4 linked regions of the Arabidopsis thaliana genome follow. The protein of the gene in region 2 interacts with the protein of the main gene of each other region in a pairwise test. Each region holds a gene or a part of one and is shown on either strand. Other genes may lie near its edges.

Region 1 (5,598 bases), on a different chromosome or scaffold from region 2:
AAATTTCATACCGAACAAGGAAGAACAAATTGAGACCAGTTTCTCAGCTGACAGGATCAGAAAGTACCCAATTTGACTAAATTTGAGCATTTTCTAGGGCTTATATTATCAAACAAACAACAAAGCCGCACGAAGAAGAGAGAAAGTATGAACCTTTGAGAAACTCCGGCGAGCTGAAGCTTCTCCCAGATAACTCTGATGCGGTCGGGACACTCAGGGTGATCCTCGCCGTCAGGTGTGTCGTGTTTGCACATCGTCTCGTCGTAAATAAGACCCACCTTTCGCTGTCTGTTCCCCGCGACTTTACCGTCACAGTCTCCAATTTTTTTGCCGGAAGATTCTCCGGCCATAGCCATAACTGGGAGATGCGACGGCCTTATTGTTCGACGATCAGTGAGAAGGAAGTGAAAAAGGTCAAGTCTTTGCTCTCAGCTTCTAAAGCTTCCAAGTATTTTTTACTTTTCAATTCTTTCTTTTTTTCATTCTCTCCTTTTTTTTTTTTAGGTTTGAGAGTTTGACCAATTTGGAGATTCTTTGGAGGGAAATTGGGAAACCAAGTATCGCAACCAATCAAAGTCTGACACGACACAGTTGGTTTACAATCACAAAAAGGTTCTGTGGTTACAATGAAACACCATTGTACTTTCTAAGAAGGGTATATGTTGCTCTTCCCGAGCTTATCAACCATCTCGCGAAACTTGTGGTAGTCTTCTGCTACGGCCTCAAGCTCCCAACCTAAAGTACCCTGGCTCTCTCACTGGCGATAAACTTGATACACTCCATATCTTTTATGAACTTCTTGTGGGAACGCTCCATGTTTTTCTTGATGACCTGAAACGGTTCAAGCTCTTCCGAGTCCATGTCTTCATTGAACTCCGGAGACAGAGGTTCGAGCTCGTCTAAGTCCATGTCTTCATAGAACTCCTGAGAAAAGGCAAAAGATCCATTCCCAACTCGGCTTCTTGACCTATCCTCTTGGAGTTCCTTATCTATGCGTTCAGCTTTTGCTACGGCCTCATCTCGCTCCTGCTGCAACCTCTCTATTTTGGCATGAATTTTATCCTCCCGAGCGTGAACCAACATTAGCCGCGCTTCTAGCTCCTTCTCTTTCGCTTCTAGGTCCTTATTTTTGGCCATGATGGCAAGCTCCTTCTCCCTCCTTAACGTACTCAAGCAAAACTCTGTGTCTTCTTTGAACTCCTGGCTTCTTGCCCTATCCTCTTGGAGTTCCTTATCTATGCGTTCAGCTTTCGCTACCGCCTCATCTCGCTCCTGCTGCAAACTCTCTATTTTTGCATGAAGACCACAGATTACATCCTCCCGAGCGCGAATCAACATTAGTCCCGCTTCTAGCTCCTTCTCGTTCGCTTCTAGCTCCTTATTTTTGGCCTTTAACTCTTTTCTCCTTGCCTCCAGTTCTCCATCTCGGGCAGCCATTAGAGACTTTAACTCTTCCACTTCACGAAGGAGGGCGTCAGCGGAGTTTCTTTCTGCACTTGGGTTCTTTAAATTCTCATTAGACGCCATTGACGCGTCAAGTGAAGGCCAATATGTGCATAGTCTCTCGCGTACCTAAACCCACAAGAAACAGATGAGCTTTGTCAATTAGTAACATAGGCGATATACAATATTTATGACACAAGAACTGAGCTGAAAAGAGAAATCGTAGCCAATTCATACAAAATTTCAGACTGTTAGGGTTATATAGAGCCATACCGCTTGTATGACACGCCGTGTAGATTCTAATGGGTATGTTTCAGATGAACCATGAATTTGTTTGTCTTCAAGCAAAACTTGGACACATGCGAGTGAAGACTTTCCCAATGACTCAAGATTGTATCCTCCCTCTAATGCCAGCACTATCTTTCCATGTGCAAACTCCATCAGCTGAGAGAAACCAATTAAATGATGTCATATCCAAGTAAAATTATGTAGCTTTGTTATTTTCAATGGTAGAGAAGCCATGGTACGCATAATAGAAACAATGGAGAAAAGAGGCAGTTCACTTCAACACCAACCTTCTTCAACATAACTGAATATCCATATGGGGTAACACAACAACCCCCAAGCGGATCACCAATAGCTGTTAAGAAGAAGTTGAAAAGATTACACACAGCTTACCGTCACAAAGCCTTGAAACAAATGGTTAGACCATACAAACCTGCATCAAATCCAGCTGAAAGCAAAATAATATCTGGTTTGAATTCCTTGGTCACAGGGATCAAGATGTGGTTCCATACGGCAAGATAGTCTGCATCTCCACATCCTCCTTGCTCCCATGGAACGTTAATGTTAAACCCTTCACCTGGACCTTCGCCAACCATGTTAAAGTCTCCATCATCGCCAAATGGATAGAAACTTCCGTGATCATGCCTAGTCACAAATGCATTTCCAGTCACTTTAAACCTCAACAAAGATCATGTGAAAAAGTAGTTTGGAAAGAAGAATAGACAGAGGTTGCAAATACATACCTATGAACAGAGAATATTAGTACGCGAGAATCTTTCCAGAACATCTTCTGTGTACCATTTCCGTGATGGATATCCCAATCGACAATCAGAATTTTCTTGACATCTAGATCAGGCTGCATTCGATTAATGCCGCATAACATGAGAACAAACGTACGCACCAAAGGAATGTGACCAAAGAAATTTGAGAGCAAGTAAGAGATACTAAAAGCATCACAAAAGTCAAAAGAAGTCATTACTCTTTCGTTTAGTAAAAAACTAGCAGCAACGGCAACATTGTTGAATAAACAAAAACCCATGGCTTCATCTGACTCGGCATGGTGTCCTGGGGGCCTGACAATAGCAAAGCCACAATCTAACTCTCCTTCTGCAACTTTCTCTGCCACCTACCAAGTTGCTAATTTGTTTTGTTACTAATCGTCAAACAAATCATTCTAACAGTTTGCTATCCTCCTGTGTGAGAGAGACAATTTGTATGAATCTAATATTACCTTTACAACAGATCCAGCTGCAAGATATGCAGCTTCAGATGAACCTCCATTCAGATAAATCGAATCCAACTGTGAAGCAATCTTGTTTCTCCGAGAATCTTTCTTTTTTGTGCTAATACTCTTCACTAAATTAACATGTTTCTTTGTGTGAACCAATTTGAGATGCTTATCTTCAGCTTTACTACCACCAAGAACCACACATCTGCAAAAAAGGAAAGACCAACATTGTTAACAATTTATGAAACACCTATATAGGATAACGAAACAGTTAACCAAGCTAGGAAACACCTATATAGGATAAAGAAACAGTTAACCAAGCTAGGAAACACCTATATAGGATAAAATCAGCAGAATCTTTCCAATCTATGAATTACACAATTCAGATTGAGAAAGTCAAACGTCAAGTCAAATAAGGAAAAACAAAACGAGACCTGTTTTCTCAGAGGAGATAATCATCAAAACACCCAATTAGCCTAAAATTTCAGCCTTTTCTAGGGCTTTATCGCCCAAAAAAGACAACAAAGGCGCACGAGAAGAGGAAAGTATGAACCTTTGAGTGACTCCGGCGAGCTGAAGCTTCTCCCAGATAACTCTGATACGATCGGGACACTCTACGTCAACCTTACCGTTAGGTGTGTCGTGTTTGCACATGGTCTCGTCATAAACAAGACCCACCTTTCGCTGGCTTTTACCGGCGACTTTGCCGTCACCCTCTCCGCATTTCTTGCCGGAAGATTCGCTGGTCATTGTCATATCCGGGAGATGTGACAGTCTTATCTTTCGAAGAACAGTGAGAGAAACTGAAGGGTCAACTAGTCTCAACTCTGAAGAAGCTTCAAACTTCAAAAGCATTTTTCTTTTCAAAATATATTTTTCTTTATCTTATTTACGATTAAATATATATTTGTTGGACCATTAAAGAGCTTCTTTGGAGGGAAAATGAAAAACCTAGCATCTCAACCAATCAAAGGCGGACACCTCAAACTCATTTAGAACCAATGACCGGTTGAACCTCATAAACCAATTTAAAATTGGTGAACCGAATTTTCTGCAAACGGCGAATTTATCGTTTAATAGTAATTTTTTTTTTTTTTTTTTTTGTGAATTGTTAAGACTGTGCCTAAACGAAAGATGAAGAGGAGCAACACTGAATCTGGAGGGAAAATCTACAGTTATTTCGATTCTTCACTTCACAAAAACGTCTGTGTTCTTGAACTGTGGCTACAATGAGACTCCACTGTACTTACGACTACGCAAGGATGTCACATTAACACTCCAAACATCTCTTCTTCTACTAGTATTTTCAAAAGGTCAGACTACTTAATCGAGATATGTACCTCTAAGCTGCTCACTGGGACTGTACCTCAAACCTGAAGAAGCTCTACATAGCTGCAAGGCGGTCTTTCTCCAGAAAATCCATAAGGCCTCGAGGAGGGTATTCAAAGAAAACTAATTCTTGAGGCTGTTCTTCTGATCTCTTTGCTAACCATTCTGCACATGAGTTCTGTTCTTTGGAGATATGGTAAATGTCACACTCCCACTCCTTCAATATCATGTCCTTGCACGCTCCTAGAAGCGTTTTACTTTTACAAAACAGGGACGATTTTGTTGTTAGAGCATTGATGATCTCAAAGCTTGTTGTCTCCAAGTGGATTCTTCGGAAACCGCTGTCCCAGAGATATTTGAGGCCTTGGTATATAGCCAAAAGCCCAGCTACGACTTCAGGGATGCTCTTATGGCACCTGATGTACCCAAACACCCACTTCCCTGATTGGTCACGCACTATTCCAGCCGATCTGGTTAGATCAGACAGAGGGTTTGATGTTCCTTGTATATTAAGTTTCACCAAGGGTGGTGTCCATATCTTCTCGAAACCAGGAGGTACACTTGCTTCTCCCTTCACCTTCTCCGGTGATCTTGAGGGAGTTTTTTGTGATTCTGTAATAAGCTTCAGAGCCACACGCGGGGTCAGGCATTCATTGTCTAAGTCCATGTCAACAACACCCCCATCATCAAAATCATTATCAATTTGAGAAGCAGTTTCTGGAACAAGTCCTAGTGAGTTCTTGGTCTGGAGAAAAAAACCCCAAAGGAAGTTTTCTGTTTTCTTCTGCGTATTGATGAGAACTGCTGAACACAAAACGGATGTTATCCATCGAAAATCTATGCACAAACTAAAAGCTCTGCAGAAATTCAGAATGCATACATACATTGGGAGGTCTTGTCCAATAGTTTTGAGGAGAATATTAACAATTCAGTGCCGTTTATATTAGCTTTGGCCATGACTTTGCGAGTTACCATTGCCTTGAACAGAGTAGCATGTTCCCCTGTAAACCTAAAAGAATGAGTGTACATGCCCTGAGATGATAAGTTTTCTGATAACAGAGATACAACAAGAATAAGAAGCTTGTCCTTCATAGAAAGGGGTTTTGAGTACCTTTCTGTTTTCTTCTCATCTGGGAAAAGGTACATTTCGACATTCAATAGAGTTGGGCTTCTGCCAGACACATCATTTAGAATGTGGCATGTAGGAAGCAGTTCGACCTTGAGTAACGCAGGCATTGCCTTTGAACGTCTGAGGGCCTTCCTCCTGATATTGGATGCCGGTTTAGACCAAAACTCGCAGTCAAACTCAGGCG
Region 2 (5,353 bases):
CACGAATTACTCGAAGATATTTAAACAAGCTTGTCCGAGTGCGTATAGCTATGCATACGATGATGCTTCCAGTACTTTTACTTGTACTAATGCTAATTATGAGATCAGTTTCTGTTCTTAGGCAAAAATCGCCTTTATTATTCATTAATTATTATTATTTATCAATGAATAAAAAGATTGATCATTTTTAACATATTTTTATGTTTTATTTGTCTCTTTAATCTCCTTCACAAATACAAAAAGGTGACGTTTCTAAAACAAAAGATGAGATACGGCATGCATAGCCATTATTATCAACAAGGAGGAGATAATCAAAGATTATGTTTCAAAAAGAAGATGAAACTTTATATATTTGATTGTTTAAGAAAAAAGATTATTACATAAAAATATCAAAGTTTATTTGAGTAAAATGGTTTTTTTGGTAGGAGTTTCTTTTTTTTTTTTGGGTAGGACAATTTGTATTTGACTTGAGGTTAAAGGAAATGAAAGAAAAAAGTGAGAGAAGTGATACCAAACATATTTACATTCTAACAACATACCGGTCACTCCAGATCGTATCAGACAAGATAGTTTCCAATAGGGAGCTTTAGAGAGTTATTTGGTTTTTTTGATGGTACTTACATTGGCTAAACAACAGAAGCAAAGAAGAAACAACATCTACCCTTTAGCCAAACATCACTAGAAGAACTAAACTTAGCAAGCCACAAATGGTTAAACAAGTTGATGTACCGTACATACAGGATTTGTTAAGAGTCAGGGCTTTTCTTTAGCTGATGCAGTTAAGATCAGTGTTTCTGGATTCTTTGGATTGAAACTTGCAAGCCTTCTTCATTCTCTTTGCAGCTTGGACAAACCCCACAATAACCTGAAGCTCATCCATTTGCTGTATTCATTTCACAGTTATTTACACCATTTTATTGATTATCAGGACAAAATTAAGACAAATCCATAACACAGTGAAGGCTCAGAGATGTTGACGTACCTGAGACATGAAGTGCCTTTGAACAATGTCAATTAGTTGCTCCTTTGATGGATTTGGAATTGCATCCACCTACAAAGAGTTTCTTCAGAAGCAAGCACATAGAAAACAAGATTGAGAAAACGAAAGTAAGTTTCTTCTCTTCCTTTTCTTCTGGAATTCAACTTACAAGGTTAAAATGTCGCCAATAATTCAGTAAAGCAGGCATTTCCAATTTGCTAAGATCAACCTTCTGCTTGAAAGCATATGATATAGCATCAGTAAACTTACGATTTGTTGCATTATCTTCAAATGGAATAGATGTCAAAAAATTTGAATGCATACCATGTTTTCAGGAGGAGTAAAACCCGAACTTTTTGATTGCGAGTCAGATGATAGAGACCTGCTCATCGTCTTGTGAGATGACCGAGATGATCTCTGCCCTCTTAGCTTCGACTTATGAGGCTTCAGTGTGTCCTCAGATGCTGGAAAAGAAACAACTTATCATAGAAACAAGTCTGAAAAAAATCAGTTAAAAGGGTTCCCATCAAAGAACAATATATCACTTAGTAGCTCACAGGAGACTAAATCAAGTTTAGAGATCTCTATATCAAGTTTTTGACAAATTGGCAGAATCGTTACAAAAATAACAAGGAACAAAACTTACTCATATCAGAGCCATTCCTCTGTGTGTTTTCGAAATCAAGATCATCGTCTTCTTCGTTTCCAGTAGGAGGTTCAAGGACACTAAGCGCATTCCTCTGCAACTTTACTTCTATTCCATTTGTCAAAACCTACAAACCAAAAAGCACAACAATAATTCTGATTAAATACTTTTAACTCCATAAACAAGTACTGACATTGATTTTAATACTTCAACTCCTACTGTTACTTCCATAGGAATTCTGGGAGACAAGAACTGGTGGAATGTGATATCACTAATAGTAAAACATAATCGTGATACTGAAGAAATTCGTAAATTATATGGATTATTCTCTAAAGTTTAAAGCTAGAATATGGTGAAGTTACTCCTTTAGGTCCACATACACAGAGACACTATCAAAAAGATCTTGCAGAGCAGTTTATAATATAAACTAGCCAACCAAAGCATAAAGATTTTATAAAGAATAGTAATCGACAGAAGTGACACTGCTTGGGGACGAAAATGACTCAACTAATTAAGAAAGAACAAAAAAGAAGAAAAACCTCTAAAACAAATGATTAACATTAATCAAAAGACTAACAAATTTCAAAAAGCCAGCTTGGATCCTTAAGGTGGAGAACAAAAATGTCAAGAAATATGATGGAGAATTAGATAACAAGTGCATATTTGTTATGATGTTTTATTGACCAGGCGCCAAAATAAAGTTGCCTCTTTTTTGGTTTGCCTAATTAATGTTTGCAAACTCAAAAATCACTTATCCCCTATAGATGATTCCTTAAATTGAGCCTGAAACTCAGCATGAAACACCAAAATAATCAAAGATACCAAAATGTTTCAGAATCTTTATTTGATGCAAACTAATTTTTAAAGAAAAATAAAAATCACTCAAGGGTTTCATGAATAAAATAACTACCTAAGAACCATAAATACAAGGTTAAACAGTGTAAAATCCAGCAATAATGGTGACTTGAATGCTATCATGCATGCAACAAGTTCAATCGCCAGATTTCGAAAATTTTACAGATTTAACATTTGGTAAATACAAAAGTAGATTTGATTTTCGATCAAACTAACAATTCTTGGTTTAAAATTAGATGCGAGGAAACATAATTATTGACTTGATTAGTGAATCTATAACTAGTAAATCGAAGCTCATGAATGATTATATCTAATTTAAAGTTGATCATGTTGAGAAATTCAAGGGAAAAAAACCCAAATTTGAAATACAAAATCATCCCAAAACCCAAATTATGTTCATCAATTGCAAACTTGGTAAATCCAGAAAACAGAGAACAAAACACTAGATTAGATCGAAATTTAACTATAAATGGAAAACGGAACAGGAAACAACAAAGATAACATTTTTACCAAAAAAGGAAAGAAATCAAATAACTTTACCAGCCAATGCCAACCACCGAGACCGACAGCTTTTTTGACAACACCTTGAAGACCAACAAGCACCGATTTCGTCCGGTTGTTTCCGGTGACCACCACTTTTGTATGACGTGGCAATACCGATAACTCTTCTTCACTACTGCAATCGCCGTAAAAGCTCTGAATCTGCGGGAATCCTCCATTCACCACTCCTGAGCTATCTACAGCTTCCAGCATTCTTCTTCTTCTTCTCTAATCTAATCTGATTTTAGACCTGAAGAAATCAACAGACCCAGTTCGATTTTTTTCAGCTTTGAACACTGATAGAAAATCGAAGATCATGCATTGCTGAGAGAGGGAAAGATCAGATGATTGAGCGGGAAAAGTGGAGAGATATCGAAGTAAAATAATTAGGGTTTGTCCCACAAGAAGAAGCAGAGAGAGAAGAAGAGAGATGAGAGAAGAAGAAGCAGAGTAAAGAGAAGGTAGAGGAGGAGGGAAAGAGAGGATGATAGAGACAGGTTTTTCACCACGGGGACCAATTAGAAGAAGCCATGTCAGCATTGTACTGAAACTATATGCGTTATGCAAAAACAGAACCGGTTTTTTTGTTTGGATTTAACCGGAGGGGTACTTTTGGTAATTACAGAACACGCGATTGACCTGAATGGTTGACTGGTGTTTAATAAAGACAGAGATAGATGGGACCCGTTTTTATTTAAATGACGGTTATACCCTTAGTCACGTAACTTTTTTCCATAGTTTGAATTTTTTTGGATCTTCTTTGTCCTTATCTTATAATTTTCTTTCTTTCATAATTATTGCTCTCTCCATTACTAGATTTTTATTATTATTGAGAACAATGTTTTACTTTATGAAAACCAGGTTCTCAAAACAGCAAAATAAACGAAACAAGTACTGCTTAGTAAGTGAAATAAATGGATCAAATACAGTAAGATAAACATTGAACATAAACTTTAAACTCATATAATGGCTAAAAAGCAATCAAATTGGTCGATGGGATAATTGGGTATATTAGATACAGAAAATCTAAGGGATTTAATGTTGTGTCTCTTTAATGATAACACTATTAAACACACATCGATATTATCATCAAAAGAGCTCAAGAGACGCAAATACAAAAACCTTTTTTCGACCGATTATAAGAAGGTTTTATAAAGGTTTTATAAAGGTAGATGATCGATATGATCTATGAATATTTTATCTTTCTTTTTTTGTGTTACATACAATCATACATGATTTTCTTACTATATGAAAGTTACATGTTTGGATCAATTATTTGTCCAAAACTTTTATCGAGTCATTGTCATTGTCACAGTTAACAAAGCCCACCCAAAAATAAAACCGTCCCCATATTTGGGGAAACTGTCAAAGCGACCCCTCACCAAACGCCTGCTTCAATTATTCGTAACTTTTAATGCTTACCCTTACTACCATTCCCCTCCCATAAAAATCAAAATTTTCATTCTTTTGTTCTTTATTGTTTTTAAACATAAACCTACGAAATCTAGAGGCTGGAACAAAATCCATTAATTACCGGGAAATTTTCAGAGGATTTGCACTAAATTAGGGGTTACTTGTTACATTTCAAAATTAGGTGACTAATTGTGGTCAATTATGAAAATTCGAGGGGTTAATGAGAATAATCCTACACGTCTGTCTCTATCGTCGTCTTTGAGGGTTTTGTTTGAACAAAGAGACTAGAGAGTGTTGGAGCCGTTAAATGGCGAAAACTGATAAGCTAGCTCAATTCCTTGATTCTGGTATCTACGAATCCGACGAATTCAATTGGTTCTTCTTAGACACAGTTCGTATCACCAACCGTTCATATACCCGATTTAAGGTTTCACCTTCTGCTTACTACTCTCGTTTCTTCAATTCGAAGCAACTCAATCAACACTCTAGCGAGTCTAATCCGAAAAAGCGAAAACGGAAGCAGAAAAACTCTAGCTTTCACCTTCCTAGTGTAGGAGAGCAAGCTTCGAATCTTCGTCATCAGGAAGCGAGGCTGTTCTTATCGAAAGCCCATGAATCTTTTCTAAAGGAAATTGAGTTGTTGAGTTTAACGAAAGGTCTAAGTGATGATAATGATGATGATGATTCTAGTTTGTTGAACAAGTGTTGTGACGATGAAGTCTCTTTTATTGAGCTTGGAGGAGTGTGGCAAGCTCCTTTCTATGAGATAACACTGAGTTTTAATCTACATTGCGACAATGAAGGTTTTTTGGTTTCTCTATGTCACTTGCTAGATCGTATTTGAAACCCATGAATTTGATGGTGTTTTGTGGACTTGATAGGTGAGAGTTGTAATGAACAGAGAGTGTTTCAAGTGTTCA
Region 3 (5,603 bases), on a different chromosome or scaffold from region 2:
ACCTACCTCTCTCGCAGCCCCCAATAAATACCTCTGCACCAGGAAAACAATTATTTTCAGTCTCCCCATTGCTTATCATTTTCTCTGTTTCTTTATTCATTTATGTTTTCGTTTTACATTCTTTCTAATGAGTTTTTATTTTCTCTGTTTCTTTATTCATTTGTGTTTTCGTTGTATATTCTTTCTAATGTTTTTTTATTTAACATCGAGTCTTAAGTTGCTCGATTTATATATATACATATACATCCATCTGATTGCAAATGATGAGTTAAATCACCATTGATAAAAGAAGCTCAATTGAGCAGTGTTGGCAATCAAAAACTTCCATGACTCTGATGCAAATTTTGATCAAGAAAAATCAAATCCTTGATCTTTTTTTTCTGTTCTTTCTCAGATTTTGTTAATTATCACTGAATTTTGCTTTTCAAATGTATTTCTGTTTAGTCTTAATAATTCTCTGTGTATTTCTCACTAGCGTTTTTAAATCTATTTTTTCTATTAATCTTTAGTGTTTTTTACTAACAAGGCTGCCTAAAAATAAAATTGAATTTGATCAAGTGCAAATTGTACTGTACAATATATAACGAATTTGATCACTATATAAGTCACAATGATGAGAAAGTGAACCAAAAAGCTTCATTCATATACACCAAGACGAAAACATGAAGAAGATGGAATCAATCAGAAGTGGTTTTGGTGCCCCAGTAGCCGTTAAAGTGTTGATATCATTACAAATCTCATAACTAAACAAAAAAATTAACCAACAATTTCTAAGAATCGATGTTTTATGACGCATCGTTATCGTTGTCTCCATCGAAATATTCATCATCCCTCTGGATCTGCTTATCCCGTGAACGCTCTGAAACATTCCATATAGAACATTAGTCACTAAGAAAACAAAGGGACTAAAGTAGAGCCTTGAAGGTGGTTATCGATACTTACGATCCGCACGTACATCCGGGTTTTGTTCGTCTTCATCAAAATCCGGTATGTAGAAATCCGGTGGAACCTAAGAGATTCAAGTAAAAAAACTGATCAGTGTTAGATTGATAAAAGCATCAATTTGTCCTATGATGATCTGAGTTTACCTCCTGCATTTGTACGCTTGGAGCGTGTTGAATGTATCGCAAATTCTCCAAAATCTGCACTTTGATGGAACTGATGTACGATTTGGTATTAAGATTCTCCTGTTTTCATTTCAAACACACAAAATGATTCTCAATCTCTCTTTAGATTTTGTTAAAGCAATGAGGAACTATAAGTTACATAAGAGCTCCTTACAATGTGACCACCCGGTATCTTCAAAGAAAAATCCGGCGCAAAATACTTTATGTAGTCGTTTTCAGGAATCTCTGCAGAAACAACTAACCCCTGAGCCCCCAAAGACCGCAAACATTAAACTTTCTCTAACAAATATTGAAAACCTAACCATTAGGAAGTTCTGTGTCCAAAAGAATGCCAGTCTCAACGGTCCAACAACGAGCTACATTCTCCTTTGTGTATCCTCCACCTCCTGTAACCTAATAAACAATCAGAAAGAACTGACTTCGTCATCAATGAACTTAAGATTACAGAAACGCGTCATACATATATATAAGTTGAGAGATTAGATACCAGTAAGGGAAGATTGAACTTCTTCACGAATTTAACACATTCAGCATGTCCTGTGAAATGCATAGAGAAAGCCATTTCAAAACCCGATTCGCAAAGAAATTAGCAAACGGGAGATTGAAAGAGAGAAAGAGATTTTGATTACAAGAAGAAAAAGCACCATCAATAGAGAGATTAAAGCATCCTAGTCGATCCCTGGCTAGTGAATCTGCCCCGCATTGAAGAACAATTGCACCCGGTTGATATATCTCAACAACCTTGGATATTATCTAGAGATCAAAGGAAATGATGAAACACAAATAAACGGTGAACGCATCGAGAATTTTTCATTGTTTTTAGTTAAAGAACTTACAGTCCTGAAAAGACGGTTGAAACTACTGTCATCGATACCATCCTTCAGCGGCACATTAATGGCGTAAAATTTCCCTTCTCTTTCTCCTATTTCCTTTTTAAAGAAAAAACATCACAATGACAATTCAACCAAACACATTGAAACCGTCCTCACAAATCAGGAAAATGAATTCTGAATATTACCTTAACATCGCCTGTCCCTGGAAAGAACTTATCCCCAAACTTATGAAAGCTAACAGTCATTACTCTACCACCACAAAATTTAAAGATATTGGCAATCAGTTTCTATAGTAACAGCTTTCGAGAAGTAGTGTTATGGATTTGTAACTGTACCTGTCAGTGAAGTAAAACGCTTCTTCAACCCCATCACCATGATGAACATCTATATCTATGTATAGAACACGGGGATGGTGTTTTAACAACTCAAGAATTCCTAGCACGAGATCGTTGATGTAGCAAAACCCAGATGCATCACATTTTTTGGCATGGTGCAACCCGCCCGCCCAATTTATAGCAATGTCACAGAGTTTGTTGTTTAACCTGCGTGCAGCATCTATAGACAAAATTCTCGGTCAGTCGTTTCTCTAAAGTGACAAGCAAACATGAATACCAACTGTGTATATTTACCTATGGTTCCGCCGGCGTAAAGTTGACAAAATTCAAACAAATCTTCAAAGACAGGACAATCCTCTCCCAGATTATCTGCAACACAGTAACTTAATTTCAGCTTAACATGTAGATTACAAAAACAAATTAATGAAGACACAAAACTTACATCTAGCCATTTCATTGGGGAACAAGTTCTGGTTTTCTGGATTAATTCGTTGCAGGAACTCTACATAGTCAGGAGAATGGAACTGAGCCATCTCGATAGGATATGCTTTGTGTGGACGCTGAAACAATAGAGAACATATACAGATTTCAATCGAGATGTACCGTGATATCATAAACAAAAAGAATAAAAGGATCAAGAACAAAAACAAGAAACATATATGATGAGCAAGAGACACTAACATAAACTTCCATCTTGCTATGCAGGCCATATGCAAGGATAAGATGATGGGTCATACAAAGCCTGTGAGGTTTCATCGGGTGATTCGGACCAAAATAGACACTCCCCACATCCCCTGCAACCCAAAAAAAAACATTCAGCATAACATCACAATCTCATATAAACTGCCTCAAAGGCTCCAATCATCAACAAGAATATAATCTGAAACTCGCATCAGAGTTTGAATCATGCAGAAAATCTGAAGTACGAAAATGAAAGTTATATAACTATCAAGTCTATAAAAGTTTCTCAGAGAGGAATCTCGAAAGAACACAATTTCAAACATTATATGCAATGCCAAATTTAACAAAAGTTCTAGGGTTTCATATTTTAGCAAAGAAATAACAAAGACTTGACCAAACCAATCAAAGAAGTCAACTTCACAGGTACTAGAGTCGTCTTCACCACAAGAAGGCTTCTATCTTAAGCTTAAACTCAGGCCAAAGAATCGAAAAAATCAGAAACTTCACCTAAAACCCTTGTTCTTTTCATCAAAAACCCTACTCAATTCTGGAGTATTTCCAAACTAATCGTAACCCTTTACTTATTCTAGACTATAGATATGAAAGATTTCACCTTTCGATGCATCGATTGAGCAATAAAGACAAAAACTAGTGCGGTTCAAGTGGATAAAACTTGCTCAAGAGTTACATCAATCTCAAGGATTTTGGAGTTTCTTTACCATAAATAAAGAAGAAAAGGGAAAGAAATGAATATACCATCATAAAAGTAAGAGATTTTGTCCTTGGAACGCATCTCTTAAAGAAGAAAAGACACGAAGATCGTACGAAATCAATCTTAAAGAAAGATTATACAGAGATATTTCAGGTCTGCTTAGATTCAGTAGAGAGATGAGACGATTTCTTCATTGATGAAGTCGCAGAGATTTCACGATTCTCCGGCGGAGCCGAGAAGAGAGCAGCAACGAAGCGAAAAGAAGAAGAGAGAAGAGAAGAACAAGGGGAGAGTCAAAAGTGAAACGATGTCGTTTTAGTGTTCTGATGACATGACAGATGACGTCATTTAAAGTGTATTTGATAAAAAGCGGTTTTGACTCATGGTTTTATAATACCAGACCGGTAGCTTTCCATCATTTGAACCGAATCGAAATTGAATTTGATACTGTGTATATAAATCAATCGATTTAGTTATATCTTCTTCTTTCTCTTGTCTGGTTTAGTATACATCTTCAATTTCAAAACATGTAAACTGAATCAAATTCGACCAAGGAATGATCACAATCAAAATGAGAAAGAAAACCAATTTCGAGATTATAATAGTAAGAAGTTGTTAGATTATATAAACTTGTTGAGTTATTTACTTGTTGATCTCCGATGTCAATGTCACTACCAGAGACCAAAAAAGACCAACGTCTCGTAACCACTGTCTACTTGATTGATAGGTCGATACAAACCACCGACCAAACAATCTAAAAGACAGACAAAAATCTCAACATTTTAAAGTCAAGTTCAACGCCAAAAGAAAGCATATCTACTAACCAAGATAATATCCTCCATTGCCAAAAAACTTCAATCCTTGAATCTGTTTCTAACCTTTTTCAGACCAAAAAAGAGCCGAGATTACAACTTTAGGATCCTTCGTTTTCACACCCATCCTTTGAAAACCTAGGAGCTTTTCTCTCTCAATCTTGTTTGGAGGAATCAACAATGTTGAGAGAAATGATGACCTCAGGAGAGGTACCTCTTATGGGACTTACCTTTTAGGTTTGGGTTTCTAACCTGATGCAGTCTATGTTTCACATGAACACGTGAATCTTCTTCAACACGCCCACCTAACCGCTCCTTTGCAGATAATCGACGGCGTCGAGTTGATGTGTGATCAACATTACCAGAATTCCTTTCATCAGCTGAGTATCGGAATTGTTCTCTGCTTATTCCTCCATCCACTGCATAGTTCCCTAGCTTGTCTCTGTAATCATATGCTACTTCATGTTCACGGAACCTTTTACTATCTGCCTTCTCATAAGACATTCTTGATTGCTTAGCATCCCTGTAGTTGTAATCATAAGGCATATTCTCATGCATAACCTCACTTGCGTTGTCTCTAAGACCATAATCATCTCTTGTACGCAAAATTGAATCATTCGAATGATAAACCTCTTGTCTACCATCTTGATATCTCATATTGGCATAAACTTTAACATCACCACCATTACGTCGTTGCAAACGCTCATCATCCAAGTAGACTTGATCTCGGTCATCAAAAAGATATCTCCTGCCTCGAAGAGCTTCCTCATCTTGCTTGCCAGCTGATGATCTACTGACATCAGGATGCATCACCCCATACGAATCAATTTCATGATCTCTTAGGAGTTGCTGGCTTTCATAGGGCAAATAGGCTTCCCTTCCGTCATTCGAGGACATTCCTTTACGCTCTAGAGCTCTAGCACCTCCTCGGTCCACAATCTCTGCTTTGGTGACAGCAGGATACATCCTCTCATCAATGCCAGAGTCGTAGTACTTCAGTTGTTGTTTATTGTAATGCTGATAAACATCCTTGCTTTCATTATCCAAATACGCTTCATTTCTATCAATGAAGGCTACTCTCCTAAGCTCTAGCGCCTTGGCAT
Region 4 (7,673 bases), on a different chromosome or scaffold from region 2:
AAGTGACAGGGTCAATGAATCATCACTAATCCTCAATGAAGAGATAGGAGAAAGGTGAGAATTGGTTTCGGGTTCTTACACATTCTAACCGATAAATATTTTCTTCATGAAGGAGGATCCTAGCGTTTTCATAATATACCGAGTCAAATACCCTCCCAGGTCTCCGGGAATTCTCATACTCATACAACTGAAGAAGCTTATTGTCCATGTCGTCAGCTACAACAGCTTGAAGCTGCAACAGATGAAACAAAGTCAGATTTGAGAAGGATTATAATGTTTGAAAAGGAAACATGATCAACCTAAAACCAATAAAGAGAGTGAATATTACCTGTTTAACCAATTTGTATATCAGTTTTTCCAAAGTGAATAAAACATATGACTGGTTTCCAATAATAGCTCGGCATTCATCCTCAAACTTGGAATTTTCAGCTGAGCCATTAAGCAGACTAAACAGAGCATTCATAAACCTGCAGAACATACAAATACGAGGGTTTATAAATTTTACTGAAGTGAATAAAGAACCTGCATAGTCTACATAAAAGCAATGGACCAATTGTATATCTACATTGGTTAAGGAATGTACCTTGCATAAGGATCTGGTGAACAAGTATCTTTAGTGTTTCTCAGTTTCATTTCACTGCCGGAGCAATATGTTTTCGCAGACAGAATTCTCTCGTACAGGATCTGGAAATAAAAGCCAATTAAAAAGAATTACTAAATATTTTCAAGGTAAAAAGTACTTTTTCAGATTTAACGTGAGAAAGCAAATCATAAGAATCAATTGCACTCACTCGATGAAGCCTGAAAAGGACATAAAAGTCGTCATTCCCATAGAATACTCTGGAATCCTTCTTTTTCTCATCAACCAAAGCCGCTGCAGCTATATGTTTTGACAGAGGCTTAACTGATAATAGAACACGTTCTGATGACGGAAACAACCCTTTGTCTTCTATAAGATGTGACTCCATTCCCTCTGCCTCTCCTTCACTTTCAGCTTTACCATCAATCTCATCATGCTCACCCTCTTCCTCAACGCCATTATCGTCCTGTGAACATTCGTCACCAATAGATTCAGTTCCCGAAGCATCCTCACCAGCTTCGGAAGCATCATCACCATCCTCATCGTCAGCGTCCTCATCATTTTCTCCTTCAGCTTCAACTGAATGTTCTGTTTTCGCAGTAGCCTTCAACTCACGATCTTCGTAAACAACAAAGTTGTCTTCGGAATCACCAACAGGTGATAATTCACCTTCCTCCTTCTCAATTTTGGATGGACCACCCGATTCATCATAATTACTGTTGGCTTTAGAAGTATCTGACTGCAGACCATTTCCTAAGACTATAATTCGGCCTATATCAACTCCCTAGAGAAAAGGTCAGGAACAGTGAGAATGGTCAGAAGAGTCCATAAAAAGCAGAACAGACAAATAAGAACATATAATTAAAATGTGAAACTGAATACAGTACCTGCGTATGTTGAATGCTATCAACTTTATCTATAGCTTCACTTGGTTTGGATAATATGCCCCGTGAACCTTGAAAATAAAAGTAAAGCACCGACATGTTAAGGTAGGTATAGCAAACACAAACTGAAGAAAAGGAAAAAATTAAAGTTCAATCCTGAAAATACCTGACGAATCTCTGCTTCCTACTTTACCATTATTGTTTTCGACCCCACTTGGGAAAGACGAACTTGAAGTGGCCACTCTTTCATCAACATCTCCAGATCTTTTAGCAGCTCCATTTCCAATTTCTTGATCTTTTTGGGGTTTTTCAGCACAGGTGGCAACATCTTTATTAGCAAGATCACCATCCTTCAAATTTTCTTTCCCTGAAGAATCCCTATTCAACAAACCAGTCTCACCATGCTTGGAGACCCCAGATGAAGCATGCACATCTCCATTGGTAGCAAATTTTAGTTGCCTAGAAACCAAACTTATCGCATCAGAACTCTCATTAGCCTCCCCACTGGTAAATGCACGCTGATGCTGGGTTTCTACAACATCTTCAACAGAATCTGACCCCTTGGCCCTGGGTGCAACATCAAGCATCAGCTCCAAAAAATTAGCCCAGAGCTTCAGAACTTTACCAGTCTGCTCTTTTGTAGAACATATCTCCTCACAAGAAAATTGGACTAGTTTGAACAGGTCTTCATGAATAGCTCTGTCGAGATAGTCATACTCGAGGTGAGGAATTATCGGTTGCCTGTAACCAGCAGAAATAGACAGAACAACATCGTCTTCTTTCTGAGACTTCTCTTTCAAGTCCTTGACTTCAGACACCAGCGCTGGTATTTAACCAAGGATTAAAAAAAAACAGAATTATGAGAACAAGAAAGTAAATGCAAGAATAGATCCATGACAGATGGTTGTAAGCAATTATAGGTGAGGACAAGTCCTCTGATGGACTGAGCACATTCCAAGAGTTTACTTACCTTTTGCACTCAAATTCTTAGAATCTTGCTGCTTAAAATAGAAGCTGCGGTGATCAAGTGATTTGTAATGGTTTTTCGCATACACATCCGCCCAGACCACATTAAAACCTTCACGGCATTTTGTCCATTCATCTTGTTTCTGCTTCAATCGAGTTAGAATTACAGGAAGTGCAGCAGCTGGATTCTTACGTATTAAGTCTGTCACGTCAAGACCATGGTCTCCATAAAGTCTCTCTATACACCTTAGATTTAGTGCTGTATTAAGTCAATAAGAAAATGGAAAGTGTTAGCTTAAAAGATGATGGCTTAAAGATATGGTAAGCGAGGTGGGACGGAGAGAACTACAATCACTAATATAGGTCCCTGGAAAATAAATGCCCACATACCTGTGAAATGGTCTTCAATCCGGAAGGAGCCCTCAAAACTTATTTTCTTATCAATGATAATATTCAACAATTCTTCTGCACTTTTGGCAGCAGATCCCACAGATTCCAACAGCATGTCCAACTCAAATCTGTAAGAAGAAGCAAGTAAACAATCTTAACATACAAATTACTTAAAGACTACAAAAGCTATCAAATGTGTAATACTTTTTGTAAACGAACCTATCATCTTCACATCTAAACAAGCTTTCTTCATATTGGTTCCTGCGCATGTGCTTAAAAGAGTAGTCTTCACTTCCTGAAGTGACAGAAACCCAGTGATCATTTAACACAGCAGCTCCTGATTTCTGTCTGTGGCGCACAGACGGGATTGGATACTGCAAATAAGATCTAATATAAGTACAATTAAAATGTCACTGTATGCAATATAGAACTCTGAAAATCTTATTACATCTGGAGGGAGAAGCCGGTAGCTAGGAGTGCAACGCTCACAATCAGATAGATCAAGCTCTTGAATAGATTTCCCCATGTACTTGTCCTTGGATCGCTCTTTTTCCTTAGCAGCCTCAACGTCACGTTTGTGTTCTCTATCTTTTTCCTCCCCCTTCACTGATCTAGATAAATTTTCTTCACTACCAAGTGATTCTGCAGCAAGTGTACCAGGCAGTGTTATTTCTATTCCTATAACGTACGAAAAAAAAGAGAAAAGTATACTCATAGACAAGAAGCTAGGAGACTGCTGCCTACTTTTGCTCATAACACCAGCAAGGTGCTGGAAACCATCTGCACAAAAAGGATGATGATCAGAAACAGCTAGATAACTTATTAAGTAAAACGACAGTATGCAATCTTATATACCAATACTCTCACAACGCTCAAAGAACTGATTGAACTCATCCATGAGATCAGGGAATTTTCCAAGCACATCGGAAACCTGGATGAAAGAAAGTAACGTAAGGACAAAATTTTACCCCTATAAGTATCAACACATGCAGACCTACCAAATTCTGCAGATCTTTCCTTTGGATAATTCCATTGCTAAACATATTGAGACACTTCAAGAATGCTTGATAATCATCTTGGCTGCATAATCTCTCCTTGACTTTCTCACAAAACAAAAATGCTTGGTTGTACATGCCTAACACAATAAAAGGACATACAAAAAATATGATATTGTAAGTATCAGAAAACAGAAAAGACTGGTTGCACTTGAACATACCTGTTGACTAGAAAATTAGAAAACTGAAATTGTGGAGCCTTAAAAACAGAAAAGTTGTTGGTTCTCCATATAAATAAAAGTCGCTTACTTTTTAGATTGTTTTTCTCAGAATGTGAAGCAGGACCAGAATAAGCTTCAAACCCCTCCATTCTTCTCGAGGACTTCCTTTTCTCTGAAAAATGTTGCAAGTTATCTTGCTCTGCTTCTCCATCTTCCAAATCACGGCTTCTCCTTTCTCTATTATCCTTATCAACACGTTTCCTCTGATCTCTGTGCATCTTAACCATTGATTTATCATCATTAAGGTCAGAACGGTCAACACTGTGATCACGATCACCCCGAGAAGCAACAGTTCTTTCTCGTCGGCGATCCTGATGATGAAAAATGTATCAGCACAGAAAAGAGAGTCCTGAAAACAATATAGTAGAACCAGGAAGAAACGTAACCGATACCATACCTTCTCCATAAACATTCGACGCACAAGAGGAGGGCCTGATCCCCGGTCATCATACCGTTGGGCTTGACTACGAAGTAACTGGGCTTCTGTATGAGGCGCCAACGAGTCTGGTAAAAACCTAGTGAACTCTTCAAGCAAATCCGAGTGGTCCTCAAAAAGAGTAGACACCTAAATAAACAGATATTAGAGGTATAAAATATCGAGAATTATCGACGTGAAAGTATACGAGAGATATAATCACTTCAATGTGACATTACCTCATTGTAAACCTCAGTGATGTCCTTATTATCCTTCCGATACATATTTAAGATTTCCAGAAACGACTTATAGACAAGTTCATTGTGCTGGAACCGTGTCTGCAGTGATGCAAAAGAAACTGATACAATGAGATACTAGGTGTAGAGGACACTTCAAAGATAAGGACATACATACGAGAAGAGAACTTCTTGACCTTAATTTTATTAACAAAGCTTATGGCTTCTTCAAATTCAACAGTTTTCTTTGAAGGAGCTTCTACATCATCAAGCGTTATTTCAAACCCCTTAGGCAAAAAGGTGTTAAACCCGAAAATCAAATTGTTATGCCCCTTAAACAGCTCCTTCACTCGTGAAATCACACCAGATGTATCAGTCCTGTAAATGCAAGATGAAGAATTGTTCCCAGAGGCTTCAAAAATTCAATCGATCTGATAGGAAAGAAATTAAAGATCTTACTTTTGTGCCTTAAAGTCTTTCATAACCTCAAGGAACATATCATATTTGTCTCGCTGATCTTGAAACATCTCCTTTACTTCCTTTAAGTAGGTCAAAGCATCATCGGTAGTCAATTTCTGAGTGTTGATTCCCCCTTCACCAATGCTCCCTCCTCCAGTGATTGGAGATTGCTCATATCTGCACCAAACAAACTCTAATCACTTAGTAACTTTCATGCAAACAAGCTATAATGTCTCATCGCCAGCAATTTTAAATTTTCGAAGTCTGACGAAAAGGGAAACTCACGATTCGCCACGAGAAGAGCCCAAAGGACGTTTAAATTGAGACCCGGTTGCGTAAATATCATCCCTAATTCGCTTCATTGCTGCTCTGAGTAAAACAAACAAGAAAGATCATCGATTAGAGAAGAGAAATGAAGAAATTTGAAGGTAAACCCAAAATCCCAATTTAGAAATTCCATTACTGAGCATCTAAAAAAGGAAAATTCAGATGAAGTTGATAAAACCTACTTTCTCGTTCTCCAGATTTCCCAGAGATATAACTCCGGGAAGAGATTAATCAGATCTCTCGAGTAAGAGCGGAATCGATAAGAAACACTTCCGATCAAATTCCGGCGAAAACTTCAAATTTCCCGAATTGTGCCAAACCCCAAGAACAATTCCGATGAGAACAGAGTGGAATTCAGAAGAAGATTAAAAAACAAATGAGAGAGAAATGTTTTGAATTGGAGTTGCTACGACTGAGAAGCAAGAGAGAGAAAGTAATTTTCGAATAATGAAGAAGAAGAAGAAACGAGGACGGAATTTGCCTATGAGGTCTCTCCCGGCACCTTCTTTAGAATTGTTTCAGCGAGACCAAATTATTATTATTTCCTTTTTTCTATTTTTGGGCCGTTAAAATTTATAATGGGCTTAATAAAAGGCCCTGATTATTAGGCCCATTAAATAAATTCGTAAGGTAATTAGGGTTTTGCTTCATCATATTCGCCGAGGAAGATATATAAAGAGGAAACAGATAACATTACTCAGAGATATCGATCTAAGCTTGCTACATCTTCTTATATACTTCTGCAGTTTTTAGTGTTTTTGAAATTCGGATTTTTTGTTTGGATCAGTTGATGAGCAAATACTGCAACAATATGATGGAGAAATCTTTATGATTCTTAGTATTTAAGTCTCTGATGATCTTATTTGTTTTTATATTTCCTCTCTTCTCCTTTTAGATCTTGCACATAGTCGTCCCTTTTTCTGAACAGAGATGTGATGAGTAACAAATTGGTCCGTGTTTCTGATTAACCGTGACTGAGAATTTATTAACCAAACTCTGATCTCAATAAGTTTTATTATTTGAATCTTCAAATCTTGGTTTTGTATTAGAAAAACAATGAGAACTCTTTGGTTTTTGGCTCTGTGATTGCTTCGCCTTATTGGCAATATACGCTATTCTGAAATCAGAGTATGAAAGATAAACAAACTGTACTTTATGAGAGCCCAATCGAATAGTTATTTTGAAACTTCTGCTGTGATGATCTTTTGAATAAAATTCACATGTCAGACTTCAGAGATCTTTTGATCTATGAGAAAAAACATTCATAATTCTGAGCAGAAGTAACAACACAACCTGTTTCTCCAATACTAAAAATAACCAATTGTAACTTGTAGTAGAGCTAAGAAGATATTAAAAAAAAGGTCGAACAGAGAGCTAATTTGATATATCCGTCTCATTCAAATGCTAGCTTCTTGATCCTTAATCCTCATCCTCATCGTCAAGAGTAATTTCAAACCCATGTGGCAAGAATTTGTTAAATACGAGAATTAAATGGTTATGTCCCTTTAACAGGTCTTTGACTCGTGCAATCACGACAGAAGTATCGGTCCTGATAAAATGCAAGATGAAGAATGGGTTCAGAGGCTAAATATGATACTTAAAGAAACAAAACAAAAAGATGTTATACCTTTGTGCCTTGAAGTCGCTCATAATCTCGAGAAACAGATGGTATTTGTACTTTTGATCATGAAACACGTCCTTTATTTCCTTTAAGTAGGCCAAAGCATCATCGGTTGTCAAAGCATCTTTGGTGTTACCGTTTCCAGGTTTTGGAGATTGCCCTTGTCTGCGTCAAAAACAACCCCACGATCATCAACACAATACTTCAAGATTACGATACTAACCAAAGTCTTTTGCTAAAACGCAACTAGATTAAAAGATTTGAAATAGCATAAATGCGAAACCCTCTGTGTGCTCATCGCTAAGATTGAAAATGGAACTTACAATTCGTTTCGAGGGGAGCCCACTGGATGTTGATTTTGAGACCCAGAACCGTCGATTTCTTTATCTCCAATCCGCTTCATCCCTGATTGAAGAATTATGGGGGAAAAAGTTATTGCAAGCAGAAGAGAAACAAAGAATCACGATGAAGTTTAGAGAGACTCACTTTCGGAGAAGATCTGAAACAAATCACTCAGAT

The links.
Region 1: the proteins of AT1G19330 (region 2) and HDA18 interact in a two-hybrid assay, tested with the Arabidopsis thaliana proteins (one study listed by BioGRID).
Region 3: the proteins of AT1G19330 (region 2) and HDA9 interact in a two-hybrid assay, tested with the Arabidopsis thaliana proteins (one study listed by BioGRID).
Region 4: the proteins of AT1G19330 (region 2) and SNL2 interact in a two-hybrid assay, tested with the Arabidopsis thaliana proteins (one study listed by BioGRID).

The regions. Positions count from the first base shown.
Region 1 is NC_003076.8:24,570,562-24,576,159, forward strand, and holds HDA18 (histone deacetylase of the RPD3/HDA1 superfamily 18), read right to left. Parts: upstream 3,827-5,598; 5' UTR 3,812-3,826; coding exon 3,510-3,811; intron 3,162-3,509; coding exon 2,960-3,161; intron 2,855-2,959; coding exon 2,708-2,854; intron 2,585-2,707; coding exon 2,472-2,584; intron 2,374-2,471; coding exon 2,162-2,373; intron 2,084-2,161; coding exon 2,019-2,083; intron 1,888-2,018; coding exon 1,717-1,887; intron 1,573-1,716; coding exon 736-1,572; 3' UTR 534-735; downstream 1-533. Other genes in the region: HDA05 (histone deacetylase 5), read right to left, coding at 154-356; AT5G61090 (Polynucleotidyl transferase, ribonuclease H-like superfamily protein), read right to left, coding at 4,341-5,086, 5,170-5,294, 5,397-5,598. UniProt on the Arabidopsis thaliana protein: Responsible for the deacetylation of lysine residues on the N-terminal part of the core histones (H2A, H2B, H3 and H4).
Region 2 is NC_003070.9:6,680,058-6,685,410, forward strand, and holds AT1G19330 (histone deacetylase complex subunit), read right to left. Parts: upstream 3,477-5,353; 5' UTR 3,234-3,476; coding exon 3,021-3,233; intron 1,753-3,020; coding exon 1,626-1,752; intron 1,459-1,625; coding exon 1,304-1,458; intron 1,215-1,303; coding exon 1,149-1,214; intron 1,052-1,148; coding exon 983-1,051; intron 884-982; coding exon 767-883; 3' UTR 506-766; downstream 1-505. Other genes in the region: AT1G19320 (Pathogenesis-related thaumatin superfamily protein), read left to right, coding at 1-121; AT1G19340 (Methyltransferase MT-A70 family protein), read left to right, coding at 4,741-5,236, 5,315-5,353.
Region 3 is NC_003074.8:16,225,984-16,231,586, forward strand, and holds HDA9 (histone deacetylase 9), read right to left. Parts: upstream 4,027-5,603; 5' UTR 3,770-4,026; coding exon 3,733-3,769; intron 3,090-3,732; coding exon 2,977-3,089; intron 2,856-2,976; coding exon 2,738-2,855; intron 2,665-2,737; coding exon 2,590-2,664; intron 2,516-2,589; coding exon 2,296-2,515; intron 2,210-2,295; coding exon 2,146-2,209; intron 2,057-2,145; coding exon 1,964-2,056; intron 1,881-1,963; coding exon 1,772-1,880; intron 1,665-1,771; coding exon 1,615-1,664; intron 1,521-1,614; coding exon 1,430-1,520; intron 1,353-1,429; coding exon 1,282-1,352; intron 1,188-1,281; coding exon 1,089-1,187; intron 1,010-1,088; coding exon 943-1,009; intron 860-942; coding exon 786-859; 3' UTR 536-785; downstream 1-535. Other genes in the region: AT3G44690 (uncharacterized protein), read right to left, coding at 4,702-5,603. UniProt on the Arabidopsis thaliana protein: Responsible for the deacetylation of lysine residues on the N-terminal part of the core histones (H2A, H2B, H3 and H4).
Region 4 is NC_003076.8:4,860,002-4,867,674, forward strand, and holds the start of SNL2 (SIN3-like 2), read right to left. Parts: upstream 6,031-7,673; 5' UTR 5,716-6,030; intron 5,576-5,715; exon of another isoform or gene 5,571-5,575; 5' UTR 5,569-5,570; coding exon 5,492-5,568; intron 5,384-5,491; coding exon 5,207-5,383; intron 5,126-5,206; coding exon 4,945-5,125; intron 4,850-4,944; coding exon 4,751-4,849; intron 4,662-4,750; coding exon 4,494-4,661; intron 4,408-4,493; coding exon 4,125-4,407; intron 3,956-4,124; coding exon 3,819-3,955; intron 3,752-3,818; coding exon 3,676-3,751; intron 3,601-3,675; coding exon 3,565-3,600; intron 3,463-3,564; coding exon 3,269-3,462; intron 3,195-3,268; coding exon 3,040-3,194; intron 2,949-3,039; coding exon 2,821-2,948; intron 2,690-2,820; coding exon 2,435-2,689; intron 2,288-2,434; coding exon 1,631-2,287; intron 1,536-1,630; coding exon 1,468-1,535; intron 1,365-1,467; coding exon 756-1,364; intron 685-755; coding exon 584-684; intron 468-583; coding exon 329-467; and 3 more. Other genes in the region: AT5G15025 (paired amphipathic helix Sin3-like protein), read right to left, coding at 6,953-7,082, 7,161-7,319, 7,478-7,557. UniProt on the Arabidopsis thaliana protein: Acts as a transcriptional repressor. Plays roles in regulating gene expression and genome stability.